3 linked regions of the Styela clava genome follow. The main gene of each other region encodes a partner of the protein of the gene in region 3 in a complex. Links are inferred from orthologs where the notes say so. Each region holds a gene or a part of one and is shown on either strand. Other genes may lie near its edges.

What was found. Proteins that work in one complex are often made in the same cells at the same time.
Region 1: spliceosome-associated protein CWC27 homolog (region 3) and small nuclear ribonucleoprotein Sm D3-like share a complex: the UniProt entries of both Homo sapiens proteins name them as parts of the minor spliceosome. The link is inferred for Styela clava from reciprocal best matches to the Homo sapiens genes CWC27 and SNRPD3.
Region 2: spliceosome-associated protein CWC27 homolog (region 3) and E3 ubiquitin-protein ligase RNF113A-like share a complex: the UniProt entries of both Homo sapiens proteins name them as parts of the minor spliceosome. The link is inferred for Styela clava from reciprocal best matches to the Homo sapiens genes CWC27 and RNF113A.

What each region holds. Positions count from the first base shown.
Region 1 is NC_135254.1:11,358,617-11,369,495, reverse strand, and holds small nuclear ribonucleoprotein Sm D3-like, read left to right. Parts: upstream 1-6,623; 5' UTR 6,624-6,749; coding exon 6,750-7,151; 3' UTR 7,152-8,162; downstream 8,163-10,879. Other genes in the region: protein SCAI-like, read left to right, coding at 8,163-8,326, 8,654-8,749, 9,004-9,090, 9,177-9,275, 9,352-9,451, 10,279-10,374. UniProt on the Homo sapiens protein: Plays a role in pre-mRNA splicing as a core component of the spliceosomal U1, U2, U4 and U5 small nuclear ribonucleoproteins (snRNPs), the building blocks of the spliceosome.
Region 2 is NC_135251.1:22,356,410-22,367,605, reverse strand, and holds E3 ubiquitin-protein ligase RNF113A-like, read left to right. Parts: upstream 1-6,006; 5' UTR 6,007-6,151; coding exon 6,152-6,172; intron 6,173-6,676; coding exon 6,677-6,808; intron 6,809-7,385; coding exon 7,386-7,496; intron 7,497-8,058; coding exon 8,059-8,241; intron 8,242-8,756; coding exon 8,757-8,901; intron 8,902-9,170; coding exon 9,171-9,354; intron 9,355-10,195; coding exon 10,196-10,302; intron 10,303-10,580; exon of another isoform or gene 10,581-10,810; coding exon 10,811-10,872; 3' UTR 10,873-10,972; coding exon of another isoform or gene 10,973-11,076; 3' UTR 11,077-11,122; downstream 11,123-11,196. Other genes in the region: protein SDA1 homolog, read right to left, coding at 71-206, 437-598, 1,299-1,435, 2,566-2,678, 3,102-3,260, 3,783-3,854, 4,300-4,410, 4,498-4,596 and 2 more; condensin complex subunit 3-like, read right to left, coding at 10,973-11,076. UniProt on the Homo sapiens protein: Required for pre-mRNA splicing as component of the spliceosome. As a component of the minor spliceosome, involved in the splicing of U12-type introns in pre-mRNAs. E3 ubiquitin-protein ligase that catalyzes the transfer of ubiquitin onto target proteins.
Region 3 is NC_135257.1:11,146,691-11,156,938, forward strand, and holds spliceosome-associated protein CWC27 homolog, read right to left. Parts: upstream 4,344-10,248; 5' UTR 4,321-4,343; coding exon 2,791-4,320; 3' UTR 2,789-2,790; downstream 1-2,788. Other genes in the region: snRNA-activating protein complex subunit 3-like, read right to left, coding at 1-30, 386-570, 814-960, 1,580-1,760, 2,086-2,216, 2,297-2,392; ras-related protein O-RAL-like, read left to right, coding at 6,692-7,333; ras suppressor protein 1-like, read left to right, coding at 8,927-9,032, 9,828-9,999. UniProt on the Homo sapiens protein: As part of the spliceosome, plays a role in pre-mRNA splicing. Probable inactive PPIase with no peptidyl-prolyl cis-trans isomerase activity. As a component of the minor spliceosome, involved in the splicing of U12-type introns in pre-mRNAs.

The DNA of each region.
Region 1 (10,879 bases), on a different chromosome or scaffold from region 3:
ATGGCAAAGTATGAGTTGCAACAAGACCACAGCTTGCGTGACTTGATGATACATCCTCAGTATCCATTTATTGATGCTTATCGTAATGACAAATAACTTGTGATTACTGTGGATTGGTGGAGATAAATGTCCATTGTGCTTGAACGAAAGCAACTTCAATACGACCCGATCAAGAAATTTTTTTTTGTTTCGGTGGGTCTGGTAGTGAAGGTTTCAGTCTAAAGTTGGACACCGATACTACAACCAAATACAGTTGCAAATGAAACTTAGTGAAGCGTAATATTGCGAATTTGTGATCTGAAAGAAAATTCTGATGGGTAGCCGGCTAGCCGCAACCTTTTGTTTAAAGAATATTATGAGATATGACTTAAGAGTCTAAACTTTTATTCGAGAGGGGTGTAACCCACGTTAATTTGCATATGGTAACCATGGTACCAAATGTATCACAAACTTTACAGCAATCATAAATTATATTTGAAAAATAAAGCACATCAAAAGTGTATTTTTAAAAAACAATTGGTTTTATCTGCAGATACTAGGTTTATATTGAGATTGACCATTTCAATGCTAAATTTTCCTCAGTCAAAAGGCACACTTGATTCGCAAAGATTTGTGAATGCGCACAGTACACCAATTTGTCTAATGTTTTGATTCCATAGGCAGGAGGTTGTGAATCGGTGCTGCTCAAGATGGGATATTTCTGCTTATAAATGCATATTACGTGTTTCACATGAATACATCGTGCTCAGATTCGACTGTTTCCAAGGTCTAAAGGCTCCAACTGCTTAATTTTATCGGTACACAAGAGAATTTTCAATGTGACATGCATGGGTCAGCTGGAGTCACTAACATGAAGATATCTATAAGCAAGGATAAGATAACCTGGAAGTAACATTCCATAATTTAGAGTAAACAAGACAGCTACGCCCAAATATATGGACACGTCTGTTCGCAGTACAGTACGGTTTACCGTACCGTCGATCAGCGTAAGGAAAAAATCGTAGCAAAGTACCGTAAGGACTTCGTTACGAACCATCGACGTTCGATGTCACGTGATCAAAAAGAAGAGGAGTGTCGTCTATGCGTCCGCAGAACGTTCGGTGACGTCATACCAAACAAAAACAAATCTCACAGAGCTAACAGAAATATTTGAAATAAATAAAAGTAATGGCCTTCTGGAGAAAAACTTCATCTTTAACCAGTAAAAATTTCGAAGCAATCGGTCCAGTAATGAAAGAGAAAAGCGGTTTTTTAGATTTCCCACTAGATGTCCAAAAAGTTTCAAAGAACAACAATAGGACCAACATAACATTGAAACGATCGTTATGTCCACTACGTGTCCGAAAATGGATCTGCCTCCACAGCCCTTTCAAATGGAAGATATGACTCTTTAGGGGTAATTTCTATCAAATATTTTACAGTGTTATGGTTCCAATGAAAATGGGTATAGGCGGCTTCTTTTAAAGTGTGGTAGGTCTAGTCGAAAGACACATTAAATGTTTATGCTAACAACTGCAAAATTGCAACGCATATAAGTTAACAGAATTTGTTGAAATGGTCCTGCATTTTGCCTTTCTTTAAAATCCCTCTTTTTCTAACTATTCTTTTCCTCTCTGGGGATGGCGAAAATTCAAATATTGATGGCTTTTATAAGCAGCTGATAATGGGTTCTCTTTCCTTTTTCCTGAAAAGAAATTAAACACTAATCATCAATTGACAGTGCCAAGTTTGTGTATCAGATCAGTAATAGATTACCTGCTAACTAACGAAACAATCAGACAACACCTTCTGACCATTAATGAAGATTTCTTTTAATGTGAAACGCAAATATGCCTACCAATATCGGTAGTTTTTAGGAAAGGATTTATCATGGGGGGAGGATTGCAAGGTGCAACATCGTACGATTACCATTCTGTGTCGGGATTAGTTAGTCAGGTATTTGTTTTCAGAAGCATGGACTTGATGGTGGGGGATGTCGTAATTGACCAGCGGACGTGTGAACCACCTTCAGTGGGAGGAGAGCTGAAATCCTCTCGCACAAAACTATCCCCGCATGGGATTGAAACCTGTGAAACTACCAGGGTGGTCAGAGATGCGGTGGCGAGCGTATTTCTAGATAGCGAATTCAATTGAATTCTGGTTATTTTTTGCATGAGCACTGACTGGTGTTGAACTTTAGTTATCTATTCAACTTTTCACACTTACTAATAGATTACCTGCTAACCAGGGAAACAATACCTTATGGCAATTGATGATTTATTCCTTACACAAGTCAAGTCTGCAAGTAGGCCTACCAATAACAGTAGTTTGTCATCTTCTTCCCTTTGAAATGGGGAAGCTTATGAATATTTAAAGAAATTGATAACGGCACATTATCACTCACCACCAACGAAGTGCTGTCCGCAAACAGTGAAACACAAGCGAGATGACTTCTGAACTTGACACCAAGCAGTCCTGCCAATAGATGGTATCTTTTGAAAAAGTGGAATATAACTGAAGATCCATTTCGTTGTCTATACTATACATACAGCCAACGGTACAATACGAAATAACCATTTTCCACACCCAAACAAAACGGAAACGTATAATCCGACCTGCAACTGACAGGAGCCAACTGGACGTTTTTGTTTTTCTGCCGTCCAGTAAACAAAGTCACGTGACCCGTGCAAGTCCTCTATATAGCTCTGTGTTTTCAATGGACGTGTGCCCGAACCTTGACCCCTCAAAAATTCTCCCTGTATTTTGGAAGTGTTTTGGAGAGTTGGCGCTTACAAACTGGCTCACATGTTTGCAAACTATTTCTATTCAAAATCTTGAACCACGTGCCACTTACAGGCACTGATAGCTAATTTTAGGCTTGCCTATCTTAGCGTTTACGGTATCAATTTTTGATTATTGCAACTAAACTAAAGGTCCTCGGAGTATATCATGGCAATTAAGGTATCTGATGTACAGCTATTATTTGGAAACACAACTGAAAACTTACACGAAAACGAGGTAATGTTTACAACCATGCTTGAACAATTCTAAGCGAAAGAAGTGTCTCAGTGGCTGCAAATTGCAATTGTACGTCACTGTTAATTTATTTTCGATTGGTCACTTTCACGCAAATAAAAAAAAGAAATTGATTTTCATCCATACAGGCAGGGCCGAATCATATGGCCTTTTGGAAGCCATAAGCACTTAAAAATTTGTTGCCTTATATGTAAATGATAATAATAGGTATGTAACTAGTGGTGGTGGTGGTAACATTGGTGCCTTAAGCACGTGTTTATTTTGCTCAATGGTTTATTCAGCCTTGGCTACAACATCGCTGCATTATTATACACTCACAAATCTGTCAGCATAATAGAGGGCGCTCCGGAGGTATTCGTGCCAAGATGACGCACAACCTTAACAACCCTAACCTGGTACCCATACTATGTCCAGGTTGTGCGCCATCTTGGTACGAATACTCCGGGATCACCTAATAGAGCAGGACTATGTCACTATATAGAGTTAGTCTCGCGTTGTGAAACTAATACTTTCAGTAAAATCGAATATTGACAGTATTAGAGTTACAGTTAAATGCAATTTACACGTTTAGCGACTGACGCTTTTTAACAGTATTGAAGTTTCTGTGAAATGCTATTTATACGTTTAACAACTGACGCTTTGTAACAGTATTGAGTTATGGTGAAATGCTATTTAAACGTTTTACGACTGACGCTTTTTAACAGTATTGAAGTTACAATGAAAACTATTTATATAAAATAACAAGGGGGCGCAATGGGAATTAATTCCCAATTGTCGTGCGTGGACCACCACATTGAATTATCTGACAGAAGTAACTTTGTTCAATTCTTTTTATTGCAAAAGTATTCAAAAAAAAAAGTTTCTAGCTAGCCTATGTGGGCTCGATACCGGACCAATATTAACTGTTGGGTCGTCAGACCGATTCGAGTTATTTCATGATACTGCGGAGTCATAAAAATTCGACCATGGAAATTGAAATTTGTGTGGTGCTCCCTTTCCCTTGCTGCCCTAAGCACGTGCTCATTTTGCTTAATGGGTTATCCGGCCCTGCATCAACAGCGTCATCATGCAAACAAGAGAGCTATGCTCAAATATATGGACACGTAGCGCCACATAATTTTGATGACATCATAGCAAAAAATAAAAGTTATAGACTTCTGGAGAAAAATTCCATCTTTCACCACTGAAAATTTCAAAGCAATTGGTCCAGTAATCGAAGAGAAAAGCGGTTTCTTCAAAACGTGTCGATGAACAAGAACAACAACAACAAAACGATCGTTATGAGAAAGAGAGAGAGAGAGAGAGAGAGATTTATTGATTTGTCAACCGGAAAACAAACAATGGTATACAAATTAATATATACAATATACACAAAGTTAATTTGGTATAGACTGGGAGAGCGATACGACCATAAGGTCATCGGAGTCAGCTACCCCCCAAGTTCACTATTAAGATTCACAGTTAAACGAATGTCCACTAAACGTGTCCAATAATGAAGACGCTTCAAAACGTGATCATTAGCCAATGAAAAGGATTCATTATTTTATCACCCACAGATAATAAAGTCGATGAGCGGCTGGCCAGCCCGATTTTTCTTTATTTTCAAGAAAGTTTTGCAAATTAAATTCTTTTTGCCTTTCACATTCTGTGGATTGTATATGGATGGGAGCCAAACAGTGACGCAATTTAAAATTTAGAAAAAATTCCGATTCTATTTTGTACCAAACTCACTAACAACAGCTTCGCTCATTTCGGATAGTGAATGTATCTCAAGGTTTAAGAATGGGTTCGCTTACTATCACGACATTCTAAGAATGCGTCGCTTGAACCCCCTGAATCCCACAACTTGATATCATTAAAATTGTTTCGAAATTATAAAAAAATTGTTATTGACTTGGGCCAAGTTTACAATTTTGATCAAATTTTGCCAATTCAAGATATCTTTCTATGAAGGTTTCATATTTATATATTTTTTGTGCTCAAATTATCAAAGATCGCATGTAAAACAAGAGGCCAGCAACACATCCAAATAATCTTTCATTGAGATTTTTGGAATCATAACTTCACAATGGTTTGTGATCAAACGCCTTCCATCTGATCTGGCTTTTATTCCTACCAAAAAAAAAAAAAGAGTTTGATATATAATTGCTATTTTTCCGTCGATAAATCGGAATCACGACAATAATGAGTAAATTAGAATTGAAGACTGTTGAAGAACTATAGGAAAATTTCTCCACATGAGAAGCTGAACGGTAAAACGTCAGTTTCAAAAAATAAACTTGCACACTTTTTCCAGACGATAACAAATAAAATGTAGGCTATTGGATCAATTATTTTTTAGATTTAATTCAAAACAATAAAAAAAAACAAATTTTATCCAGATTAATCGCTTGTACTTTTTGGGAATGTCCACAAGTTTAAGATTATGTGACCATTTTACGTTATATATATATTTCCATTGTTATTGAGAATCATAAACTCTACGATAGTGCGTTGGAAATGCTCAAGCAGGCTACCATCTCTTTGAGGCACTTTTCTTTCGTACAATTTTGTACTCACGCAATTGCTCACTTGTTGAATTCAAAATCTCTATCGACGGTAGAAAGTAATATGACGTTTGAATTTCAAGACAGCGTTATAGATCATGTTGATTGTGTATCTATAGTTACTTTTAGTGTTCGTGTTGAGTGAGACCATCTGTATTTGAATCTGAATTCTCTTATAGTTTATTTTTAAAAATATGTGCTTGATATGGAAGTTTCTTAAGTAAACCTGCTGTTATTAAATGATAGTTTTAATTTCAATACGTTATGGACTACGTTATCGGGTTATAAACAGTGCCGGCATTGAAATATCAGCAGACACTTTTTTTCTCAGACTGCAGGACATAGCGATTTTCGAGAAGAAGTTTTTCCGCATAATGATGTTTATCAACCCCCTTTTTATGACCCGTTGCAATCGAATAGCATCCTATACCTATTACTGTGCTCGAAATTGTTTCAATTGACTACATGCGATAAGGAAACTCAGAACAAAAATGTAACAATATTTAACGAGAATATCGGTCAGAGACCGAAGACTTATCGATCGAAAGTTAGGGGATCCCCCAAAACAGCGCTCCTATTCCACACTGACACCTTGTGTCCCATCACTAATTAATTAATAACTCGCTAATTATACGACCTAATTCTTCCAAAATCAATAGGCTTCTGATCCGAGATATGATGAATGCATATGCAAAATTTGGAGCGGATTCATCCTCGCTTTCGTGAGATATCGCGTGTATCTAACAGACAAACAAACAAACAAACAAACAAACAGACAAAATACCTATCAACATACTTACCGATCTTAAGATCGATAAGTAATAATAACGTATGGTTAACGTAACTAAAATAAAATGTAAACGACATGTCAATGAACACGGAATGAAATAAACAAAGTGGTTGTCGAAATTTAGTTTCTAATTTAAATTAAAATTTCAAAACGATCCATTTTTCCTTTTTGTCTAATAAGGCTGTTTAAGCAATGACCGGCAATGACCTAATAATATCGTCATTTAGGTCATTCGTTCGAATATTTTTCACAGTTCCGATGAGGCAACGAGACGCGGACGCGGGAAAAAGGCTTTCCTTCGGTGTTGCTTTTGCGCATTGTCTAGTTGTGACCTCGCCGTGTTAGTTTCAATTTTTATCTCGCTGAATACAATTGTTTGGCACATAATTTCATTAAAAATGTCTATTGGAGTTCCAATCAAAGTACTTCATGAGGCGGAGGGCCATATTATCACATGTGAAACCGCGAATGGAGAAGTTTATCGTGGAAAACTCATAGAAGCTGAGGATAACATGAATAGTCAAATGACAGATGTAACTGTTACTTATAGAGACGGTAGAACAGCACAGTTGCAGAATATTTACATCCGCGGAAGTCAAGTTAGGTTTATGATTTTGCCTGATATGCTTAAAAATGCTCCGATGCTGAAGCAACAACGCGGTGGTTCTGCCGGAAGAGGAAAAGCGGCTATTTTGAAAGCTCAAGTTCGCGGCCGCGGAAGAGGCGGATTCAGCAGAGGAGGCGGTGGTTTCAGGGGCCGTGGTGGATTTGATTCTGCCAGCTTCCGTGGACGTCACTAATCCTTGGATAGAGTTGAAAAAAGTTATTGGCCCAAGTCTTTTAGATTTTGTTGGAGCTGCTCCCACCGCCTTTCAATCTAAGCTTCTGCTATCCACAGATCCATGCTTACTGTCTGTGATTTATTCATTTCTGGTAGGCAGCTGATGTATTATATCATTCCATTATGTAGTTCTGGCTTGTGGTAAATTATTGATTGTTTTTAGTGTGACTGGATGATATTAATATCTATACTTATGTCCATTTTGGCATGATTATTTTATAATGATCCAGAAAATGTGTAAATTTCAATTTTTGAAGTTTGGAATGATAGTCTACCAAATCTTAAAATATTAGGTAATACTCAATTTCGATTATATTTCTGTTATTATGTACATCATCTTGAGATCCCAATATTGGGAGTGATGCATATGATTTTACATGTTTGTCTTGCATAATATTTGAATTATTTTTCATTCGTTTTGGTTTCTTTTACAACATCTGCCTGCCTGTATGTAAAGGCAGACAGGTGTTGCAATTTTTGGTCTCCAAGTTTTATTCAACCTGGGACAATTTCTTTTAGCATTGCTCGAATGTGATTACTGTTATATCAATGTCTACGAACCAGAGCGAATTTTAACACAAGTTGAATTTGAATAATATTATTCTTGATCTGTGCATTATATTTCTTGTGATGTTAATTTGCTGCTATTAGCTTCATTATTTCAGTCTGCTAAAGTCGGCATTATGTCTGTATGTTGTTGGTACCTTTTTTTGATGCCACTTTGGTATGTAATCCCAATGTCTGATCTTAGAGATTTTTGAATTATCCTAACCCTAACCCAGTGATGACAGACTTGGGATTAGAAACTGAATTCTATGCGAATTTCTTTATGAGATTAAGTAGTTTTATGATTCGAAATCGCATACCAAAGTGGCATCCTTTTTTCAATCATGATAGGCTAACGATACGTTGATTTTGTTTAGTGTGGATCTGGGAATATAACTTTGTCAGATTTTGGTTCAAGATTTAAATGGGTCCAATTTCTTTTTATAACAGATTTGAGTTCTTTTGGTATTGTGGTCTTGACATAATGATGGAAACTGTGCCTCCGACTCCCACAGCTGAGGAACGAAAAGTAGTTCAGGAATTTGGTGATTTATTGGAAGCTTCTAAAAATCTTTTCAATGGACTCCGGTAATTGAAATTCAACATTTTCAATAAACATTTTCAAGCATATCAAATACAAAAATCAGGATTTTCTGCAAAATCCTTTGTGACAGTTTTTCCAGATTGAAAATTTTGTGGTTTGAACACTTGTAAGGATAATATATATGAACGATTATTTAGAATACTACTTGACAATTCGTCTTTCCGAAACTGCAGTTGAAACGTAAGGGTAGAATCGTACACATTTAGAATCCATAACCCCAATATCCTGATTGATTGATCTTGTCACACTTGACCAGATAATTAAAGGATATGGTATGTATTTGTTGGTAATATTTTGTTCTTGCATTTCAGAGATCTACCTCAATATGGGCAAAGACAATGGCAACCATATTTTGCCAGAACTTTTGAGACATATACAAAGTTGTGGAAATTTCAACAAGAAAACAGGTTTATATTAATTCATTCTATGCTAATTTTGAATCCTTATTCTTGCTGTCTCAACCAGGGTGACCTAAACTACATAGACTATGCAGAAGATTTCTGGGCGGGGGGTGTTCTGAAAACTCCGTAGCTCTTTTTGTATTAGTGTCTTTCCAGACCAAACGTGTGAAAAATCGTTATAATATTACAGACTGTTCAGTTACACACTTTTTATAAGATGATATGTGCAACATTACATAATGTTTTTTACTTATTTTCAGACTGGTTTTAGACAGTGTATATGGATTGAAACGATGGCAAATAGGTGAAATTGCATCAAAGATTGGGCAATTATATTATCATTACTAGTAAGTGCTATTTAAAAATAATTTCCTTTAATGTAGTCGCCAAAAAATCATAGTTTTACAAAAAACTTATTGAAGTGGTATTTCAGCCTACGAACGAGTGAAGCGAATTATCTAAATGAAGCCTACCATTTTTACTCTGCAATAAGAACAAGGAATTATTACAAAAATGCACACAAGGAAGAAAGGTATCTTCGTTTGTTCGTGTGATTTGGGGGTTTATTAACTTGCATTCTTAATTAAGTTAATGTCATTTTGTTTCAGTTGTTCTGATCTGTTGTTGAAGAAGCATCGATATTATGCCAGATTCATTGTTGTTTGTTTATTACTTGATTACAAGCAGGATGTTTATAATCTTGTAATGGTAAGTTCTGTAGTGGTATGATGTTTATTTATCGCATGAAAAAAAATTATGCTTTTTTCATAAACATATGGCCAAAAACATTTCCAATATTTGATATTTTTGAACTTGGTTTTGTTGATAAAAAGTTTACATGAAACCATGTATGGGAGGATTGAGAATAATAGATATGTTTTATTTTTGATGATCTATATACCTTATTGGTATAGCTTCCTTTGTGGTCAATGATATTGTATATATAACAGGGCTCTTCAAACTGCGGGTCCCCACCCCGGTCGCAAAAGGGTCCAATGGGAGTCGCATTGTCAGAACTAGCCATGTGAGAAATCTTTTTCGACACCAACTTATGTTAAAACAAAATATCAATCAAATTCGAACTATTTGGAACTGCGACCCAACATTACCGAAATAGAAACAAGATTCGATAGTTTGTGCGAGAATATGCAATAATATTTGTTTCATTAAAAATTTTTGGGGTCGTGAAGAAAAAATTGGCCATGCCAAGTAGATCGCGATGAAAAAAGTTTGAAGAACACTGGTTAAGTGATGGTTAGTTCTAATGCTAATCAAGGCTAAGAACATGCTAAAGAGTTGTCGTTCGTCGCGAGTTATTATTAATTGATTAGTGATGGAACACGCGATGTCGCTATTGAATCAGAGCGAAGGATACATACCGCTAGATCAATAAGTCGGCGTCTCTGATTGCTATCTAGTTGTATCAGTTACTGCATTGCAGATAAACAACACATTTAAGCATCATGTTCAATATAGAATTATGTTGTAGTGTTTCGCAAAGAAAAAGCCTCTTAATATTACTTCAAATGATTCAGGATTTTTCTAAACAAGTTGAAGAACAGAAGCAGCATCTTGAAAACAATGGACAGGAATGGACACAAGTAGTTTCAGAAATAAAAGCTTTTCTTGATGTAGGATATTTCGGTGATTTATTTATTTATTTTTCCTCCACCCCGTTTTTTTCCTCTGTTCATCTGAAACAAATAACTGGCTAACTAGTCTCATACCTAGGCTTACCATACGTCCCGCTTTTCAGCGTTTTGTCCCGGTGTCCCGATAAGTCAGCCAAAAGTCCCGCTTTTCCAGCATAATACACAAACATGTTCTCGTTACTGTTGTTTCTGTGTAGCGCAGCGCTAGCCTACTTACTGAAGGTGAATCCGTTCGTTTCCCGCTGATTCCCATACTAATACTAATTAGTCTAAATTCAAATTATTTGTACCGGTATCGTTAACGTCAATTCCTTCCTATTTTTCGAACTGAACCCGATATTTGGACAGAGAATATGCGCATGAAATTTATCTTTTGAGGCGTCCTGATTTGAAGTCACAAAAATATGGTAACCCTACTCATACCTGACATGGACTGGTAACCAGACGAGAAGCAGTGGTTAGGCACATGATCATGATTAAACTG
Region 2 (11,196 bases), on a different chromosome or scaffold from region 3:
TCATGTCCACTGTGCTAAATTTTTAAAATATCTCAAACAATACTTAATTTATATAAAAAATAATACTTACCCAACAGCAATAACTTCGCTTGAGTTTCGTTCAGTAACAAAATTATTAACAATAGTCATAAGTAGTGGATGTAAAATTTCAGGTGGAACAAGGGAGTGACTAGCTTGTGCTCCGCATAACAACATTTTTGTAACCTCTGAAATAAGCAGAAAACTAATTAAAAAATTACCTTATACCCGCGATAAACAAAATTTTATAATCCTTCATCAACTAATGAATTCAAACACCTGGCAATAATGGGCTAAATAATGAGGGGCCCAAAAACAAAGCCCATGAATTTCTCAATCACTTCTAAGAAAATTATTTTGACATCTGAACCCAAATAAATTAATATAAGATAAAAAAGGAAAAAAAATAAGAACTAACCTCTTTGATGTGGTTGCAAAAACCTTTGTAGAAAAGGATAAAAATTAAACAGAAACAATTCATGAATTCCGATAATTCTAGAGATCACCGTCATCAACATTAGTTTATGTTCAAATCTTTCAGTAGACTTTTCCAGGACTTTGTACAAACGTTCGGAAAAACCTGTAAAATGCAGTTACAAATATGTAGAAGTTAAAATTAATTTCAATGGAGATTTGTATGGCCAATTTTGGTTTAGCTGTATAATAATTTGATTCTAGTTGGTATTAAGATATTTTATCTTTTATATTAGATAACGAGAATTTTTCGGGGATTGTGACCAATAGATGGAGGAGAAAAAAAATTTCCATATTTATCCTTGGGATGAGAGGAAAGTTTACAAGACGGCTTTAACCTATGCTATGGCAAACCACATTCTCTCTTCCATTTATCAGTCCAGATATATGAATGTGCATTATACATATTTTTATAGCTACATCAAGTAAGAAAATTCAGAATCCTTGAGAACTAAGCAATAGATCTTCTATAAAAGGCAGGATATTCAATCAATCAAATCGTTTTTTATTTGTCAATTAGGAAAAGCACAATGAAATGAATGCAAGACAGCTTACGAAATATTTGTATATATTTATGCCTTTGCACAGAATGGACAGGATATCCACAAAATGACCATTCGGTCTACTTGCCAGCGGAAACTTTGAATTAGCTTAAAACTAAAAATTTGCATAACGTAAACGTTCAATTCAAGACAATGAGTATAAAACAAACCATTTTGTGTAAGAGATAATAAAGTAATAATTATTCTACAATTTCAGCTACTACTCTATCTTCGTGTTAATTTGAACTAAGAATGTATATATACCTTGAGGATCATGCAGAAGATGAACTGCAGAAAAATCAGTTGCTTGTTTTTTCAATTTCTTCTTATGTTTACCCAATGTTTTCAACGCCTTATCTCTTTTCTTTTTAGCTCTTGTTGATTTCTTATTTACACCAAACCTGAATGATATCATGCAATTGAATAATCATGTAATGCAAATTGCAAACAAATAAATGAAAGTTTCACTGATATTCTTAGCATTTCCTAATTTCTTTGAAAAAAGTCATATTTTACAGAAAAAATTGTATTTACGATTGTCGATGGATTTTTTTCGCATACCATCAAATTCTAATTTTGTTTATAAATAATGATTATTAATACATAATAATGCTGCAAGCCTGCAATCATATACAAAAATAAATTTAACCAATGTAACCTGATGTTTAACAAATTTGCCTGAAGTTTTTGTACAATTACAGGCAAAAACCCAGCTGTAATCAGTTGCAATTACTCTACTTGTAATTAGTTTAGTGTATAAAAAATCGCGAAAATGATTGCAAAATTATTTTTTTTATTGATATTTTTTCAAGCATAACCATTCATATATATAGCCTATATGTAGACCAGGGGTGGGCAACATACGGCCGCAACGAGATTTTGACCGGCCTGCTGACTGTATCAACCACACTCTGTAATGTGGTCCGACGCATCATTCTTGAAAGTTACCGATCGCTCTACTCTCACCTCACTGTTAGTGCGAGCTGGTGAAATAAACAATTGTCCTAGTGAACAAACAATTAAGTTAGCACACTTGTTAAAAGGTCAAAGCAGAGAGCGTTGTAAACATTCCCCACTACTGTTATCAGTTATATTTAGATTCTAAATATAAATAGATTTTAGAAATTAGATTTTATATTAAGATTTATTAAACATGGAATATATATATCAAGAAAACGTAAAGTTGACAGAGAGTGTCGAGCAAAACATTTAACATAGATTGAGCAGAGCATTTAACAAAGATCGGATACCAAAGTATTTTTTGTAATGATCCGGCCCACCGAGGACTTCATTCTCCCACATCTGACTCGCCGACTAGAGTTGCCCACCCTTGATATAGACCCTTAGGAATTCAGCTATTACAATACAATCTTGTATTTTTTGGTGAAATGGTGCGATTGAGTTTGACATGGACATAAAATGAATAGCTTTGTCATATTTAAAAAATATGGTGCAAAAATAACAATATTGTTAATACTCCTAGATTAACTATTACGTTAAGTAGATTTGAACCAATTATAAACACACCAACCTTATAAGAACATCTCTAGCTGTTACTTCGCCATTATCTGAATCTGAATCATCTTCGACTCTACTCTTCATTTCATCTTGCCCAAGAAAAAATCGAAGAGCGCATGATGAAACCTGGATTGTACATTAAAAACAGCAGGAACATTTAGATCAAAAATTAATATAATTTTCTCATACACACCTACCTATGTAACGGGGAAAATACTGTTATAGCGTAATACAGGTATATAAAGTTTATTTGACTTTCACACTTTTCTTTATGAGAAATATATATACCAAATTAAGTTTGAGAAAACACAAAATATTTTACAAATCTGATTTGTTTCATACTCTGGGTGAGAAAGGGGGTATTTTGATAAATATTGCAAACTGAATAGGAACCTATAGCATATGATGCCAATGCAATAAAGCCAAGTTGATGGGCCAACTAACAGGTGTTTGATTAAACATTATTTTTTAAACGATATTCGAATATAGCAAAACTATGTTTTACACCGCTAAATAATGTTAAATTAATATATCATCAAATAAAAAAACCTTTGTAATCTTTGAAAAGCATGCTGTGCTAATCACATTCACTGTTTTTGTATCATTCCATATTTGTCTGTGGTATAATTCTGTCATAACATCAAGCGACATTTTTGCCGCAATTGCATTACTGTCTGATAACATTGTGTACATGAAATTTTGTAGCGCCTAGGAAAACATAAACAAAAGAGGTTGAGGTCTACTGAAGCGGGATTCGAACTCTACATAGAAACAATTTTTAATATACAAGTCATTCTACTCATTTTTTTTTCTTTCGGGTGAAAAAAATTGCTACAGACATTATAAATCATGAGCTCAGACCTATTCAGATATAATATAAGAATAATTACAGTGGGCTATATAAGTTATTCGAACTAAAAGCTTTTGATAAGGGTGTGGATGCCCACCTAGACTGGCAGGCCATCAAGTGTGACATGAAAAGTTACAACAATATTTACAGTGTACAAAAGCAAAGGTGGAAGACAATAAGCCTCGTGCCAAAACCAAATCCAATCGCAATCTCAACAAATTCCTCATTAGTTTGGTTGTGGCAGCATCAGCAGGGCTGGATTGAATTACCCAACGGGCCGGATTTGGCCCGAGGTCCGTGAGTTGCCCATGTCAGATCTATAGTTTGTAGTTGAACACGCCATTCAAACTGACATGAAATTTTAAGTGAATTCAACTTACCTTATTTAACTTATTATTCTTATGCTTATGATTTAAATTCTTGATATCTTGAACTATGAAATTATACAGCGTCTGAAATTAATAAAATATACAAAGAAGTAACTTAATGTAAATTAACAAATTCTTCAACCAAAGTCTACTGTTCTATGATAAATTCCGTATGCAGATTGCCGAATCCAGTCTTTGTGGAATGTAATAGCTAGATCTTCTCATAAAAGTAGCTTATCTAGAGCCTTGTTCAGATAAGAGTTATAATAACCCAATCCAGAATTGAATGTAAGACTGTAAATATAAATATGAATGAAATTTTTGGATGTCCGTTTGCAACACAGAAAATAGTTTGTATAGCTAAGCTGAATCAGAATATTTTAAACTTGAGCAATTCCTTGACTACTAGTGCCTGATAATACAGAATGTACAAGGGAATGAGGGAAAACTTAAAAATAATTTAACCATAGCTATTCGGACCTTGTCAAGTATTTCCAAGTAACTACTGTAATATGAAATCCACATATACCTTACGAAGAAGTTTGTCAGGGCATCTCAATAACTCAAAAAATAATTCAAACAAAGAATGTGGTGTTATAAGATCCTTGTTTCGAAGAAGCATCAAACTTTTGCAGAAATTCTGAAATATTTAAACAAAATTAATTTTATCGAATAGCAAGCGTATTTAATTTTACATTTTGATAATCAACATTAAAAATATACTGACCAGTCTCATTTCATGGTTTATCGAGAGTGCATGTTTCTGAAGAATTTCTTGTAATTGGTTGGGAAAATCTTTTACCAACTCTCGATAGCAATGAGCTACCTAAATATAAAAAATAACAATTTAACATTAGTATATAAAAACCTCAACATGCCAGCACATCAGATAATGATAGAATTGAGACTGGATTACTACTGCTTTACCAAAAAAGCAACTCCAGGATGGTGATGACTGAGGATGTATATTTGAAAATTAGAATTACAAGTCATAATTCTTTCTAAGATAAATTAAATCTGTTGGGTGCAAGTCCCTAGTCCCCAAGTTTCAAATCAAGTCAGGTCACACGGGTCATCTGATCTCAAGTCAAGTCAAAGTTTCAGCAAATTTTAAACTTTTGAGTAAAAGTCACTGCACATCGATTCTGAAAATTTCATAAATAACAGTAAAATTGATAGATATGATTCACACCGACACCAGAAACTTCCATTTTGAGTTAAAATAATGGTCATTTCGAAATCAAAATTTGGATTTATTCTTGTATTGATAATATTTAATTTGACATCATCACAGCCTATGTCGAATTATCGCTACAACAAGCTAGTGAATACAAGATTTATCGATATGCAATATACACATAAATGATAAACAAGAACATGCAAAAACAACCTGCTGACCTGGCCGATAAATGTTATGAGTTCCGATAGATCTTTCGATTCTTCATTTGGTTGAAGAAGAAACAATTTCATATTGGATTGATATCTCCGATACTGTTGCTCGAACTGTTAACATAAATATAATACAAATATTTGACTAGATATGTATATCCTGATGGTATATCACAACAAATTTAATCAGATCAGCTTAAAATTATCCAGCATTGTAACACCACAGTACCCAAATCTGCCCATTAATACATTATTTTGCGATAAATACAGAAGGTATTAATGTCATGATGTGCGGAATAGACATTGTAGATACAGTACAACTTCATTTTGATCTTTCGTCTACATCACAGAACATGAATAAACAAAAATAAAATACACAGACAATGACGACAGGAAGATCGGGAGAATGGGAAAAACTAGAGAAATGTTTATAGCAAACGCTGTAACATTTGTGCCAATTCAACCACACAAGTGAAAAAACACATGACATGGATCAACACAATCATACTGAAAAGAATAAATTCATAAACAGCATACCTTAAAACGATGAAATAAAATTCACGGGCGAAGCTTAGGCCGTCTTGTAGATACGATAATTTATTTATTAAAGTACTCTCACCTCATCTTGATAAGAAACCGGATCTCTTTTGATTAAATTTTGAAGCTGCGGTAAATTATATGGAAGTTGATTTGTTCTCCCCATCTCTGCACCAATATTTCAAATCAAAATATCCAAAGGAGCTGCCGATGGGCCAGTAATTCAGCTGGGGAAGTGAGATCACACAGAATCAGATCAGCTGTGTACCACGTGCCACGGTCACTTGAGTAAAGTGTGACATCATAATAGTGAAAACAAATTTTGTTAATTTTAAGCTCTGCAGTAATTTCTCTGAAAGTTGTAAATCAAACGTTGCGAAGCGCGGGTTGCGATGGTTTTGGTCAAGTTTCAGACAATAAAACTTTAGAAAGTGTGTAAAAGAAGAAAACTAAACATGTTCAAGAAATCCGGAAAGGTCAGCTTTTCTTTTTTACGAATTTTACTTTAATTTGCCAATCAAGGATAAAGCCTTAGTTGCGATTAATTCTAGTTTTCAATCTGAGAATATTGTCGCTTTCTACCGGGTTCAAGATGAGTCTTCCTATATACTGATCATTTTCTTGACCAAAATTTTTTTATTACCTGAAGCACATATTTCCATACAGCACTTAATTATAATATATGTCCATTTATCCAAGTTCTCGAATAACTCATCTAAAATCAGAAAATGTTTTTGGTGTTCTAAATGTTTCTGAATTTGGTTACTCATTTATGCTCCGAACTTGTGTGACTCAGAACTCAGAAGTGTTTTTCTAACAGTTATAACTATTATTTTTAATCAGTTATATTAGCAATAGGTGTTGTCATCTTAAAAGCATAAACTGTACAAAACGCTCAGATTAGACGGTTTTACTAAGTTTTGATTCAAAAAAATGTAATACACGAAAACCTAATTCTTTATAAAATTTTCACTTTGCAGTTTCGTGGTAGGAATAGAAGAAAGAAAAAAGACAGCGGTGATGAAATTGAAAAAAAAAGTAGTGATGAAGAAGACCAGGAAACTGTTGTGAGGAAAGAGAAGAAGAGAAAGATGAATCCAATGGTTCAATCGGTGAGTAGTTAGATAGATCGGTAATATTTTGTCATTGCCCCGCCGTTCATTTTCTGCTTTGTTTTATTCGATTCTGTCTGTGTTGGGTTAGGATAGGACATCGCCCTGCCACCTTTTCCTGTCTTACCTATAACTGCCCAGAAATTTGGTGTTGTAAATATATTCAGATATTGTTCTTGTATCACAGTATGTCATAGGATTCATCTCTGTACAAGAAATTATCGTCATGTTTTTATGAAGCTATTCTATCACAGATGAAGCACAATCGATACGCCAGGTGGAGTCGGTGGAGTCTGTATAATTGAATGAAACAAAATGATCATTCATTCATCATCACTTCCATATAATTTACAATGTTGGAAGACCCGAGTCCCTGACACAATCACCATTTATATAAGCCACGGAAAGCCGTCTGAATGAAATTGACTCGGAGTTATCAACTAAATGCCAGCGAGACCCGACTCAGTAATTGACTTTGGACTCTGATTTTTTTTAATTTCCCGTAATTCTTTTATGTAAGGTTCTACAATTTAGCAAGTGAAACCTTTAATATCATAAAATGTGTTTTTATCTACAGAGTGCGAAGTTCACAAAAGAAAAAGTAGATTACAGTAGCAGTAGTAGCGGTGAAGGTTCTGATGACGATAAAAATAAAATCAGTGTTTCCTACAAATCATCGAAGACTGCTGTAAGTTGTTTTAAATATGATTTGTGTATTTATTTCATGTCAGCCATTGTCAAAGAACCTACTTAGAATGTCAAGTAGTCGCTACTAGGCTTGTCCATAGTAATAAATTTACAACAACTAACTCGTTTTCTTACCAGTTTACTATATACCTGGCTGAAAATTGAAAATGACCCCTATATACCCCGGTATAAATATGTAAATCCTATCCTATATTTGAATAAAATTCAATTCTTGCAGACTTTTTTAAGTAGTACTTTCCTACCTTTTCTGCACTATAATTAGTTGATTCAATTGGGCAGGACTTCCATTATAATTATCCTGGTAAGAGGAAAGACGATTTAATCATATGTCTAAATATCCTCTCACACATAGTCGTCTCCCACAGGATTCATTCAAATCTGCAGTGTAATCAGAGGTGCGATGACGAGTACGTACTCATTTCTTAGCACTATGCACCGCTCCCGTATCAGGATATTTAATCAAGTACACTCTTTTGCTAGAATGACAATTCCTTTGTAAGAAGCTTATGATTCAGTCATTTTTTTTTTTAAATTTCACTTAGAAACCATCAGGACCTGATGATATGGGAGCAACAAGGACTTATGAACTAGACACAGAAAAAGACAGGGATGCACAAGCCATATTTGAACGTGGACTTGAAATTCAAGACAAAATTGACTCTGGTGAGGCATCTGAGAATTTATACAGAGGGCAAGCTGGATATAGGCAATTTATCAAGCCAAAGGTATGAATTGACAATGCTTGTATCTATTTCATTATTTCTAATATAATACATATACAAGCTTTCTTTTGTCACTACAATAGAATCATGCCTTATGTAGTCAGGCTGAGGGACAACTAGTATGCCTGTTATTATTCAGATAAACTGCATTTTAAGGTTCGACATAATCTCAGAAAGACTGCGAATTGATCTAATCATTTGAAACCCACAGTTGATGCACAACTTTCACAGGCGATAAGTCGTTGGCATAATGTTGTGGTCTAGTCTTGTCCGAGAGATCCAATCAGAACATATTCGAATATTGATGAGAACCAAGAAAAATTTCCTATCAATAATAATGCCACTTTCATGATAAAGGAAAAAATGTGAATATATGATCCTCATTTCCAATAGGAGCTAATGTTAAAATTGTTTTTTCATGCCATTTTCAGTTTTCCATATGTAGACTGATTTTTGAATGAATAAGGGTATATTCAATGAATATGGACTTGTTTTTTATCTCTGACTTGTCTTTGTAGGACACTGCAGCTGGTAACGCAGCATCAGGAAATGTTAGAAAAGGTCCAATTCGTGCTCCAGAACATTTAAGAGCAACAGTCAGATGGGATTATCAACCAGATATTTGTAAAGATTACAAAGAAACTGGGTTTTGTGGATTTGGAGGTAAGGATCAAGTAATGATTCATTTCTGATCGCAACACCGATGGTGGTATACAAAACGCTTTTTGCTAATAACAAATCATGTACAACCATAACAATAGGCAAAAACAGATATCTTTTTCAGTTTAGCGTTTCTTAAACCTCAGGTTTCATGACTTATTTCCAGCACTCACCTTACTGAAATAGAATTGTTGTTTAAATAAGAATGTTTAAAGCTAATTTTCAGTTCAACAAATCAGTATCAAAATTTAGGAACAATTTCCTTTTCTCAGATTCTTGTAAATTTCTCCATGATCGAAGTGATTACAAGCATGGTTGGCAGCTAGAAAGAGAGATGGCTGAGGGACATTATGGTGGAAACGATGATGAAAATTGGGAAGTATCAAGCGATGATGAAGATTTACCATTCAAATGTCTAATTTGTCGGAATACTTTCAAAGACCCAATCGTTACCAAGTAAGTTGGAAAGCAATACCAATTTATTTTCATCCACTCATTTATGGGTTGGCAATGATGATTTGGGGCCTATGATTCTAGTACTGTTAAAAGCAATACTGATGTAGGTCTGTCTACGCTCTTTTTTTCAGTTACATAAGCTGCTAGACCTGACATGAGCAAACTACAGCCTGCTGGCCAAATCAGGTCCATTGGGAAATTCAATCTTGCCCGCTGATGCTGCTACAACTAAAGTTGATGTTTTTAGAAGGAAGGAATTTGTTGAGATTGCGATTATATTTAGTTTTGGCACGAGGCTTTTTATTTTCAACCTTTTCGTTTGTAACACTGTAAATACTGTTCATAACTTTTCTGACGTCACACTTACATGGCCTGCCAATCTGAGTGGCAAATTTTTGGCCCAAGGTCAAAAAACCTTGCCCACCCCTGCCCGGGGTATCACTCAAGGCAATCAGCTTAGAGCAAAGACTTTTACCCTGTACCATTTGTGATATAGCTGTGTTGAAAAAAAAAAACTAGTTATGTTTATAGAATAGCTGGGACATGCAAATGATGAGTTTTGGAAAGTGGCCGTAGGCAGTGGTGGGAGTCAGCCGGTTCTATAGAACCTTCTCACGGAATTTTATGAGATCAGCGAACCGGTTAGCATTACTGGTTACTGTCAATGTTCTGTTTATAAAAGAACCGGCTGGAAAATATGACTTTTGGGAAGGAACCGGCTTACAAAAATTTTGAAGCCCACCACTGGCCGTGGGTCATGAAATTTTAAAAACTACTAATTTTTTAATATTGTGATCAGGAGGAAAATAACGATGCCAATTTTGTTGTTATAAATTTACAGGTGCAAACATTATTATTGCGAAAAATGTGCTCTGGATCATTATAAGAAATCAAAACGATGTTTTGTATGCGGAACTCAGACAAGCGGAGTTTTCAACCCAGCTAAAGGTATTCTGACATATCTATGCGCATATCAAATATGAAGTTGTGGTGGGGGATTGATTATTCGTATTTTGTATCTATTTTAATAGACACGTGTAGATCTTCCAAAAGTAAGATAGAAAATCCCACTAATGTGGGTAATTTATTGAACAGCCCAAGAACAAGTTATTCTGTTAATCGTTACCTAAATCAATTTTCATCTTCAATGTCCTTCACGATTACCGACATATAATCCATATCTAAAACAACCAAACTGATGCCCCAATCTGCACCACCAAACATCATAAAACATGAACAATTTATTACATTATAAAATATCACATGGCAGTAGAATATTAATTTCACACAGCCAGTTTTGGTGGCCCATACATGAATAATCAAATTAGAACAAGCCTAAAAATGGCCAACTATGTACATGTTTGTGTATAAAAACAACTCATGTTAACAGCAACAGTAAAATATAGGGCTGTAATGAAATCTTGTACCTCCAAAACTAATAATAATTTTCGAACAGAACTAATAAAAAAACTGGAGAAAGTGAAGGATGCAGAAGGTTATGGACAAGACGAAGACTGATGGAAGAAAGGAAAGCTTATGATTGCTGCTCAGAATATTGAATGATGAGATGACCAAAATCTATCAAAAAGTCGCAGGTACTCGCCAAGCTGAATATCAATCAAGCATTTGTGAAAGCTGATGTTGGTGGCTGATTGTTGTTCTTCAGTCTCTTTCTTTGTATATGGAATGTTGTATCGTTTTCATCGAGCACCAAGGTTTTTCCTGTAGAGAGTGATACAATAATAAATGTTATTTTACTTGTTGTCAATGATGTTTTCGTGCAAAGTAGGTTTGGGGGCTGTGGACTGACTCGTCCTGGGTAGATAATGCGACAGATGAGGT
Region 3 (10,248 bases):
CCATTTGCTTCTACCCAGTCGAAAATAATTCTGCATACATTAACAAAACAAGCTTGGTTAAGCACTCTTAACTGAAAAAAATTTACTTATAACCCATGTTGTAATGCACGCACAAACATAACACAGACAAGAACAATGAAACCTTTTAGTGTTAATCTTAACAGTTGAACCCACAAGCCAACCAGTGTAAATTGGGTAAGCTATGTTGAACAACAATATCTTCTCTACCCTCTTCAAGTGATAATTTTTGAGAATTAGTTGAAGAATTCATATTAAAGACATCCAAGTAGCGCAGGATGCATTCAAACTGTGATTGTATAAATATTGGCCTAATCACCGCTTTGCAATAAGTAATAAATACATTTCTATAATGAAATAAACTTACTTGGATATGTCATTTTGAGTTTCATATCGGTGATCATTGTAAAAAGTATTTTCAATAAAAAAGAATCCAGCTTTATATAAATCTTTACATTTAATATCCCGAGGATGATCTGGATTATCAGTAAATTTACCAACTGGTTGCTGATCTATCGCACATGGTATTATATCTCTGAGTTCTGTCAATTTCTACAAAACAATAAATATAAATGCACAAAGATTAACCAAGTCACCAAGAGTAGCATATTACATCACACGAAGAATTTTAGTGGAATTACGGTAATTACAACTTGCAGTTGAAATGGTACTGGACCCAACTCGACAAATAGATTTTATATACGGTAGACTTGAATCCAAGTTGACATTATTTAAAACGGACCTTTACTGGGACTTATGACTAAAAATGTGAATTGTAGGAATGACAAAACTGACCTGAGATCCTAAAACTCTATAATCAACAGTTGTGTGTTTATACGTTCTATATGATCTTGGAAAATTGACACCAATTGTTATCACAGTTTCTGGACATTTTATTTTATCATCCTTATTCTTCGCAGGCTTTGATGATAGCTGATTTTCCTGGAAACAAAAACCCAGTTATACCCACTTGAGCCTATCAAACATAAAAATAATTTCGAATTATTTTTTGGCCATGAAGTTCTTCTCGTGGAATCTTCAACCATACTAGAATGGAACCCAAGGGCAACAAGTCAAATGGCTACAGCAGTGGTTTTCAGCCTTTTTGTTAATGCGGAACACAAATGAAACATTTCAGAGGTTCGAGGTGTTAGTTTGATTGTCTGAGTTGTATAAACTATAACTACATATAAAACCGAACCTAATACCAGCAAAACAGAATTATTTTGATGATTAAAGTATACCAAGTGGTGGTATGCTATTTGATTACATTTAAACGATTTACAAAAGGAAAAACTTTTTCAAAATTATGCTTTGGCAAATTCCTAAGCACTACAATACCGGGATCATATAAAAACCAGTCATACAAAATACTCTTACCATACAACATATGGAATTGAACATTAGTTTATTATTATATAATAAAGCATTAAATCGAATTATCCTAATAAATAATCTGCCTAATAACAAATTCACAATAAAACTAAAATTCATATCTCTATAAATCATACAGAATGCTAAAATATGAAAACAAAAGAAGAGAATATTCTGAAAATCTTACCAAGTTGCAATCATATTCAGTGTATTTACTCTTGAGAATAATAGTTTTCTTTTCTAGATTCCTCGTTTTATTCAACTTTATCCATGCCTTCACAGTATCCAGTCCAGAATCAGTAGGAATAAGCTTGACATCTTCCCAACGATGGAAGTTTTTCTCTCGAGGACATTCAAGCTTATTTGGACTAAATTGCACAAAAAATGTATGCTGACGTATTTCTCAACATGAGAGAATTACTGGTATATTACTTACAGTGCATCAAAAAATGTCAACTGTCACAGAAGACAATTTCTGTGTAACAGACGAAACCAAGTCACTGCATCATCAGGTTTGTTGCCATATATGAGATATCATTCAAAATTGACCTGATCAAACGATTTCTAAGATGGGGTTTTGACTATTGAGGATAGAAAGCAGTTGCCTATATCAGTTTAGAAAATTCAGTTAGAAGAATTTGCTTTTTTACTTGTGAAGTCTCTTTAGCAACACAGTACTTGGTAAAAACCAACCTACAAACTTCCATCAACTCGGTTGCAGTTTCAACATTCGTGTTTAGATCATGAGCAACATCTTCTGGTGTGTCTGATATTTTCTTATCAATGTTCATGTGAAATTCATCAAGTACTTGTGAGGCATCTTTCTGAAACATAAAATTAGGTCATAGTACACAAAATGGAGAATGTATGGAATATTGCTAGTCCTTTTCTAATAATAGTTTACCTTGAACTGCCCGATATGGATTAGTGGTGATATCATTCCCATTGCTTCAGATACTCTGATGCTTACATTTCTCTTCTCATTCAATATTTTTGACATTTTGAAATAGGTAATTTACTTTCTTATTCTAAAAATATTTTAGTTCATAACTGGGGTGATTATGGCGTGAAATGGTAACCATAATCATATAAAACTAAAACCATATTATTCCATAAAAAATCTACAGGTTAATCAATAAATAATTGTTACATTTAATGTTTTCATTCACTTTATGGCATTTTATAATTTATTCTTTTCCTGTGATGACTATGTTCTATCAGCTTCAAGAACATTTCTAGAGATGAGATTGCCATTCACCATTCCCTGAATATGATCACATATTATTTGCTGACCCTTTTTCAGCAACACTCTGGTTATCGCATATTCAGTTCAAAAATATATCAACGTTGGACAACTTTAACTGTTCCAAAAGTCAAAACAGATGGCCATAAAAGAATTCATCTCCTATGGCGGTGGTGTCTGTCACTATGATGATGATCACGACGAGAAGATTCATTTCTCCTGCTATCTCTATGCCTCTCTTTACTACTGTCTTTTTTCTTTTTATCATTCTCTCTTCTCCTTTGATTTAAAGGATTTCTGGGATCAGTGATTTCATATCTATCTTCATTAACATCTCTGTTCATATCCTTAGCATCTCTAAGTTCATGGTCGACATTCTTAAATTTATGATTCATCCATCCAACAACATTGAAATTGTTGTCATCATCATCTTTAGCTTCATCTTCACTACTCTCTTCTTCCTTTACCGCCAACATCTTAGAACGAAAGCTGCCCAACATTGCAAGTGTTTGCTGTTCTCGTGACAATCCTTTCTTATTTGTTCCAACAATTTTATCCCGATAGATTTTCTGTTGAGCTTTATATTCAGCAAACATTTGATTTGAAGATGCAGTATTAGTTTCATTGTCACTTCCAGATGATGAATCAACTTTTTCAATATTTTCTTTAGACTTTCCTGCTAGTTCTCTGGCAAGCATTCTGGACTCGTTACGAAGTTGTTTCAGTTTTTCATCCTTTATGTTTTCTTTAGAAATCGTCTTTTCAGTTGTATCAGACCTATCTATTTTTGCCCTTTTCGCTGCTGTAAGTTTGTCTTTTATTCGTTGCCTAGAATTCCTTTTTTCTTCTTTTCCTGAAGAAGACTCATCAGTAGAATCTGACGATGAAGACTCACTTTTGTCTCTGTCTCGTTTACATGTTTCTTCATTATCATTTTCTTCAAGTTTAGAAATAGCTGGTGCAGCACTCAATTTAGGATCTTTTGCCAAGTCATGACTACTTTTTGAACCTTTGAAGGCCAATTCAATGGATTCTTCTTCATCAACCTCTGCTTCATCCCCAAAGGATAATAATTTGTAATCCTTTGTGGCACGAGATTGACTCTTAGCCTTTGTTTTATCATCTTTCTTTTTCCTATTTCTCTCAGGCTCTACTCTGGGTTCAATGTCATCAAATGGATTAGCAAGAACTTTTGTCCATTTTATCATTGGGGGATTTAAAGGTCTTTCATTTTCATCTACATCGACCTCACCAAGCCTAACCATGTTATATACAGTATCACCCGTAACTTTAGCAAATATTGTATGTTTTTTGTTCAAATCATTACATGGACCCAGAGTAAAAAAAAATTGGCTAGCATTGTCATTTGGACCAGCATTAGCCATCGCCACGAGTCCTCTTCGAACAAAACGTAATCTTTGATGCAGTTCATCTTTGAAAGGTTTACCAAAAATGGATTCACCACCAGATCCAGTCCCAGTAGGATCACCTCCCTGGACTATGAAACCTGGCACTACGCGATGAAATATAACATTGTCATAATATCCCTCCATACATAATTGCACAAAGTTTCTGCATGCTATAGGTGCCTCTTTCGACCATAATTCAATATCAATATCCCCAAGTGATGTATGCAAAAGAACTTTGCCATTGGTTGAGGGCTCTTTAATGTAAATGTTGCTCATTATAATTATTTATCTGTGAAAGAATTCAAATAATAGTTAACAATAAAACTGAACAAGAAAGGATGCCTAAAAACCAGGCCTTGTTTACTATGGGATTACCACATAAATAGAAACAGGTTGAATAAAATAAAGAGAATGTTTTAAAAAACAAAGGTTGTTGCCCAGGAATCTGGTGCTAGAGACCACTAAATCAAAATAATGATTTGTAACTCTTATGAGACCCAATTATGTAACTAAACCTGTCATGATGACAAAAATGAAACATGGTTTAGAACAGGGGTGGGCAAGGTTTTTGGATTCGAGGGCCAAAATTTTTGCACACCTAGATAGGCGGGCCATGTAAGTGTGATGTAAAAAATTACATTTTTTAAACAATATTTACATTGCCATAAAAGCAAAAGTGGAAACAATAAGCCTCATGCTGAAACTAAATTGATTCACAATCTCAACAAATTCATTAGTTAAGCTATTTTCAGCTAAAACACCAAAATTTTAGTTTGGTTGTGGCTGCATCAGGCAGGCCAGATTGAATTACCCAACATGCTGGATTTGGCCCGCGGGCCGTAGTTTGCCCATGTCTGGTTTAGAATCATTTATAGAAATCAATTATAGCAATCAGTGCGAACACCTTCTTTACGAGACAGTCTGGGCCTCCATATCAGCACAAATCACCAACCTGACACTGCACAATAACTAAAAGAATACGCAATCTAAAAACATCAACATCACATTCTTCGGAAAATAATAATCCAATTTACTGGAAGAAAAAAGAATTTTATCGTAGCATTTGACAGTTTTTAGCAGAAAAAGACATTTTTGGTCACATTATCAAATATCTATCATCACATTCACAACACATAGGTATATATCGCAACAAATCTACCTAATTATAAAGAATTAAGCAATTGCAATTTGCCGATATGCATAAACATTTTCTGGTTCGGTGTTTAGATTAACACACCGTGATTTCAAGACGTGAATACAGGAGTAGCAGATTGTTCTCATTTTTAGCTTAGTGTGGTAATGAATGTGATACTGCAAAGTAACTACGTTATGATACCCAGTAATAGGAAACTGACAAATCTTTAACCAAGTTATATGTAAATGCCTTATCGCACAGGCGTATAAAACAAATTGAATATTCAAATACATTCACAATTCATTATATTCAATATAGTAAATATTTGAATTTTAGATAGTTGGGAACATTTTCATCAAAAAATTAGGAATTTTGAGTCATCAGACATGTAGATCAAAACGTATGATATCCCAAGCTAGTAAACAGCAAAAACAATTACCTTTCGTATTTATGTCGTTTTAGATATGATTAACGTGAAGAAGATATAGACAAATGATTTATGCAATCTTTCACATGAACGTGATGATAATTTAAAACATATTCGATATTTCATATTCCTCCCTTCATATTCGTATCCGAAAATATTTTCTCAGAATTTACTTGAAATAATTAAATATAATAAATATATAGTAATATTAGTACACAGAGAGAATCAATGTATGTTATTTGTCACCATAAAAAGCAGAAGTATAGTCTACTTATATTATAATCAAAATATACTTATACTTATGAGTCTTAGACCAGAACAACTGTTTAGTTTGTCTTTAACAGCACCCGTGGGCCGTGGCTAAAATATGAACCTCTTATATTTTTATATAAGATGTATATTTCATAAAAAGGGGGGATATCATTTTCTTATTGCTATCAAAACAAATGCCGAAATAGGCAACGGGTACGGTACCGGCATTCGTCTATGTCTGTATGTACAGAATTGATTCAACTCAATTTTATGAAAAAATAAAAAATGAAGAAAGGAATAGGATGTAGTCTATTATATTTTTTCAGCTGACTCATAAATAACCCTGAACTAGCGCTTTTAACAAATAGACAATTTCAAACTCAAGAGCACAGTCACGCGGAATACGTTTGTAACTTCAGAGCTTACAGCTGGAAAACCTCAATGTTAATATGTTCAGATGATGGAGTTTGAGTCTTATATGGTTTATTTATGACACTACCAAACCTCTATTCAGCTATTCTGGATTGAAGTGTCCTCAGTCGATCACGATGGTGTAAGAAACTGCCCCGGTCATTCAACTGATGCTCTTTTTTTGACTTTAAGCATTCATACATTATTGTTTTGGCGCTGCATGTCAACCTGACACTTGCGGAATGTGACGTAACGTCATGGCTTGTGATTTCGGGCTTAGATTCCACGCCCCCTTTTTATCGAAGGTCTTTGATTTTTTGGGTGCGGCTATTTTCGTTGCAATAATTTGAGTCGATGTATTGTGCCTCTGTGTTACTAGAGAATTATATTTTGTGATAGATAGACTATACGAATGTTAACAAATGGCAGCTAACAAAAATAAATCAAATGCTCAAGCTGCACTTCACAAAGTTATAATGGTTGGAAGTGGAGGAGTTGGCAAATCTGCGCTTACTCTCCAGTTCATGTACGACGAATTTGTTGAAGATTATGAACCAACCAAAGCTGACAGTTATCGAAAAAAAGTAATTTTGGATGGTGAAGATGCTCAAATAGATATTTTAGACACAGCTGGACAAGAAGACTATGCAGCCATCAGAGATAATTATTTTCGAAGCGGAGAAGGTTTTTTGGTTGTATTTTCAATTGCGGAAAAAACCTCTTTTGATGACACCCAGGAATTCAGGGATCAAATATTGCGCGTTAAAGGAGCTGATTCAGTAACAGCGAACAATATTCCATTTATTCTTGTTGGTAATAAGTCTGATTTAGAAGACAAACGTCAAGTCACACAAAGTGAAGCACAACAATTTGCTGATAATATGGGAGTTCAGTATGTCGAAACATCGGCCAAGACAAGAAGCAATGTTGACAAAGTATTTTTCGATTTATTAAAATTGATCAAAGATGAGAAAAACAAAGTCGCGACTGCACAAACTTCAAGCAATAGTCCTGAATCTGAAGACTGTATTGGACGATGCAAAAAATGCTGCACAATTGTTTGATTCCTTATGTCGTCATAATCGCATCACGAAACTTAAGACCATCTGAATGGTAGTTGAAAACAATTCTCTATATAATTTTATTTCAAGACTTGCAGTGGCAAAATTACAACTGCACGTACTTACAGATTTATGTACTTGATCAATGTAAAGCTGCACATTAAATGTGTTTTTTGGTCTTTTAATTTTTTTGAAAAATTTTGTCAATATATGTCAGAGACTATATTCATCTTTCTGCCATAACTCGCTAGTATTTAACTGTTTGAGTACACTATGTCTATGTGCAAACTATTTAAAAATAATGCTACTATTCCATTTTTTAGCATAAATTGTCTTCAAAAATGTTTGAGCAAAGTTGCAGTCATGACAATTTATTTCATGCCCAAACTTTCATATTCCAAAAAATGAGAGAAAAACCATCTTTGAATAGTCACATGTTAACTTTTTTGGAGAAGCAGGACCTTTGTTTATGGCACTAATTATAGTTTGAAAAATTTTGGAAGTCCAAGGACTTTACTATGAAATTACATATTGTTTGTTGCTATTAGGTAAATTAATTGCTATCCAGTAATCAATCACATGTCATAGCATATGATTAAAAGCCTGTAGATGAAGAAGTGGAAATGACTGCTTTTATCCTTGTAATTTATGATTCCACAATTTTATCTATAACCTCTGCTTTCTATTTAATTGTATTTCAATTCATAATTTGTTAATACTTCATATCATATTAACCTGCAGATTGATCTTGTTCTTCCTGTAGATAATTTTTGACTTAATTGAGGCTATGATATTGTAGAAAAATTGTAGTGTATTCTCAAACTTTTTGCTCAACATCTTGAAATGAATAAATATCACTGGTAAAGACACTGGTGTGACAATCAATCTGCACTCAGCAGTGATACTCCTTTAAAGCTTCTGTGAAAAAATGCTGTCTGTGTGAAGCATACCTTAGAATTCTAAAGTTGATTATATTATGGTTATCTATATCTTTAAATTATTCTTCCATACAACGAATTATTCTGTGTCTAATTGAATCCTTTGGGACCGATTTGAACATTTAGTATGATACTGCTTAATATCTCGGTATCCAGGATATTTGCTATGTTCTAACTTAACTGAGCAGCTTATCATATTTCATGAGCTCACAACACAATTCCTTTCTGGAAATAATGTCATTCTAATGTAAATCATGTACAGCCATATTCACCAGTGCTTCAGATTTATGTAATAGCCTGACATTTAAATATTTCGAACACTTTTCAAAATATTTGTCCAAGTACATGATTTATGTGTTATTGTTTTTATCTGAAGTTGGGAGGTGCATTTTATGCAATAGCTTGGGCTTGATATTTTTGATTTCGCTGTTTAGTGTACAATAAATATTATTCCTATTATTAATATTACCTTGTGGTTTATTGTCTGTGTATAAATATGATTTCTTTGTTCAACTTGGTGAATCTTACAATTCTTTCGACCTGTAAGAATATGTCGAGTTTCTATATTTTATTAAATTTTCTGCTAATTGTTGTTTTATTGTGTTTTCGCATACTCTTTAGATTATTGATACATGACATTTTTTGAAAATCATTGACAATGTCAAAGTTGAAAAAAATTGTTGAAGAAGCGAAAGAGTCAAGATGTCGAGAAGTTGATCTCAGTGATAAAGGGATTCAAAATGTGAATGAAGTTCCCGGGCTAAGTATGTAAAATCTGTCCAGATTTGAAAATAGCGTTGAATGTTTTAGAAACATTACTTTTAGAGGTGGTTTTTATCTCCACAGAAGTATATATATCTGATATGACGGTATTTTTTCCATGTTACATGACCCGTGGTGGAAGATCCTTTGTTATGTTATATTTGAATACTTGTAATGGAAATGTTGCGACTTGAATGCCATGATTGGTTGAATTATTCAAATTTGAAATTTTTTTGCCTTGTTCATGCAATTTTAATATATTATATTGCAATATCAAATTCAATGAATTTTTATATTACATGATTTATGCGAAGTTCTATCTCAAACATGACCCAATCTATACTGCATTCAATATTCTAAAATACTGTTTTAGATCAATTTGTAATAGTTTCTCTGCTAGTATGCCTTTTTGGATTGTTTTTCTCTATTTATGTTATTTATTTTGCTTCTGTTCACAATGTTTTATTTTGTGCTATATTTATGAATGTCCTTAAGTGTGCGATGTAGAGATGTCTGAATAAGTTTGATCAATTCGAAACCAATATAAAGGAGGACTTTTATGCCAACTCCTACTTCCAACTGCAAAGTTGATGATGTTTGCCAGATTTTATAGATGTAAAATTTGACATTTCTCATGACATTTCTTTTGTGTTAAACTAACATGAGAAACTCTTGTGGTGTTTATGAGATAGAAATATTTATCTAATTGGGTCTTTTTGTACAATTCTTTGTTGAACCAAATTCAAATATTAACATTTTTATCTCAATTATTATTGTATTTAACTTTTGTTTTTCAGTGATGCTGGACCATTTGACACAGTTAACGATGAGTCACAACAAATTAACTGCAGTTCCACCAAGTATCGGAGAACTTGCAAATTTGTCTATTTTAAATCTATTCAACAATTTGATTGAGGAATTACCCACATCACTCAGTGGAATGCAGCAATTAAAGCATTTGAATTTAGGGTGTGTTACCATGACTTGTATTTGATATCCTTTGTCTATTTTATATCTTTTGTCAACTCTCAACAAAACCAATATTGAGTGATCGTATCAGTGAAATCATGACCTAGTGATAATTATGAAGATAATTATAACTTATGTATCTAAAATGTAAAATCACTTCATTTCCATCTCTCAGGTCTCCTATACCTTTTTTGACATCTTTAAAAAGTCTTTTAAATTTAAATTTTAAAGCAAGTATCCACATTTTTT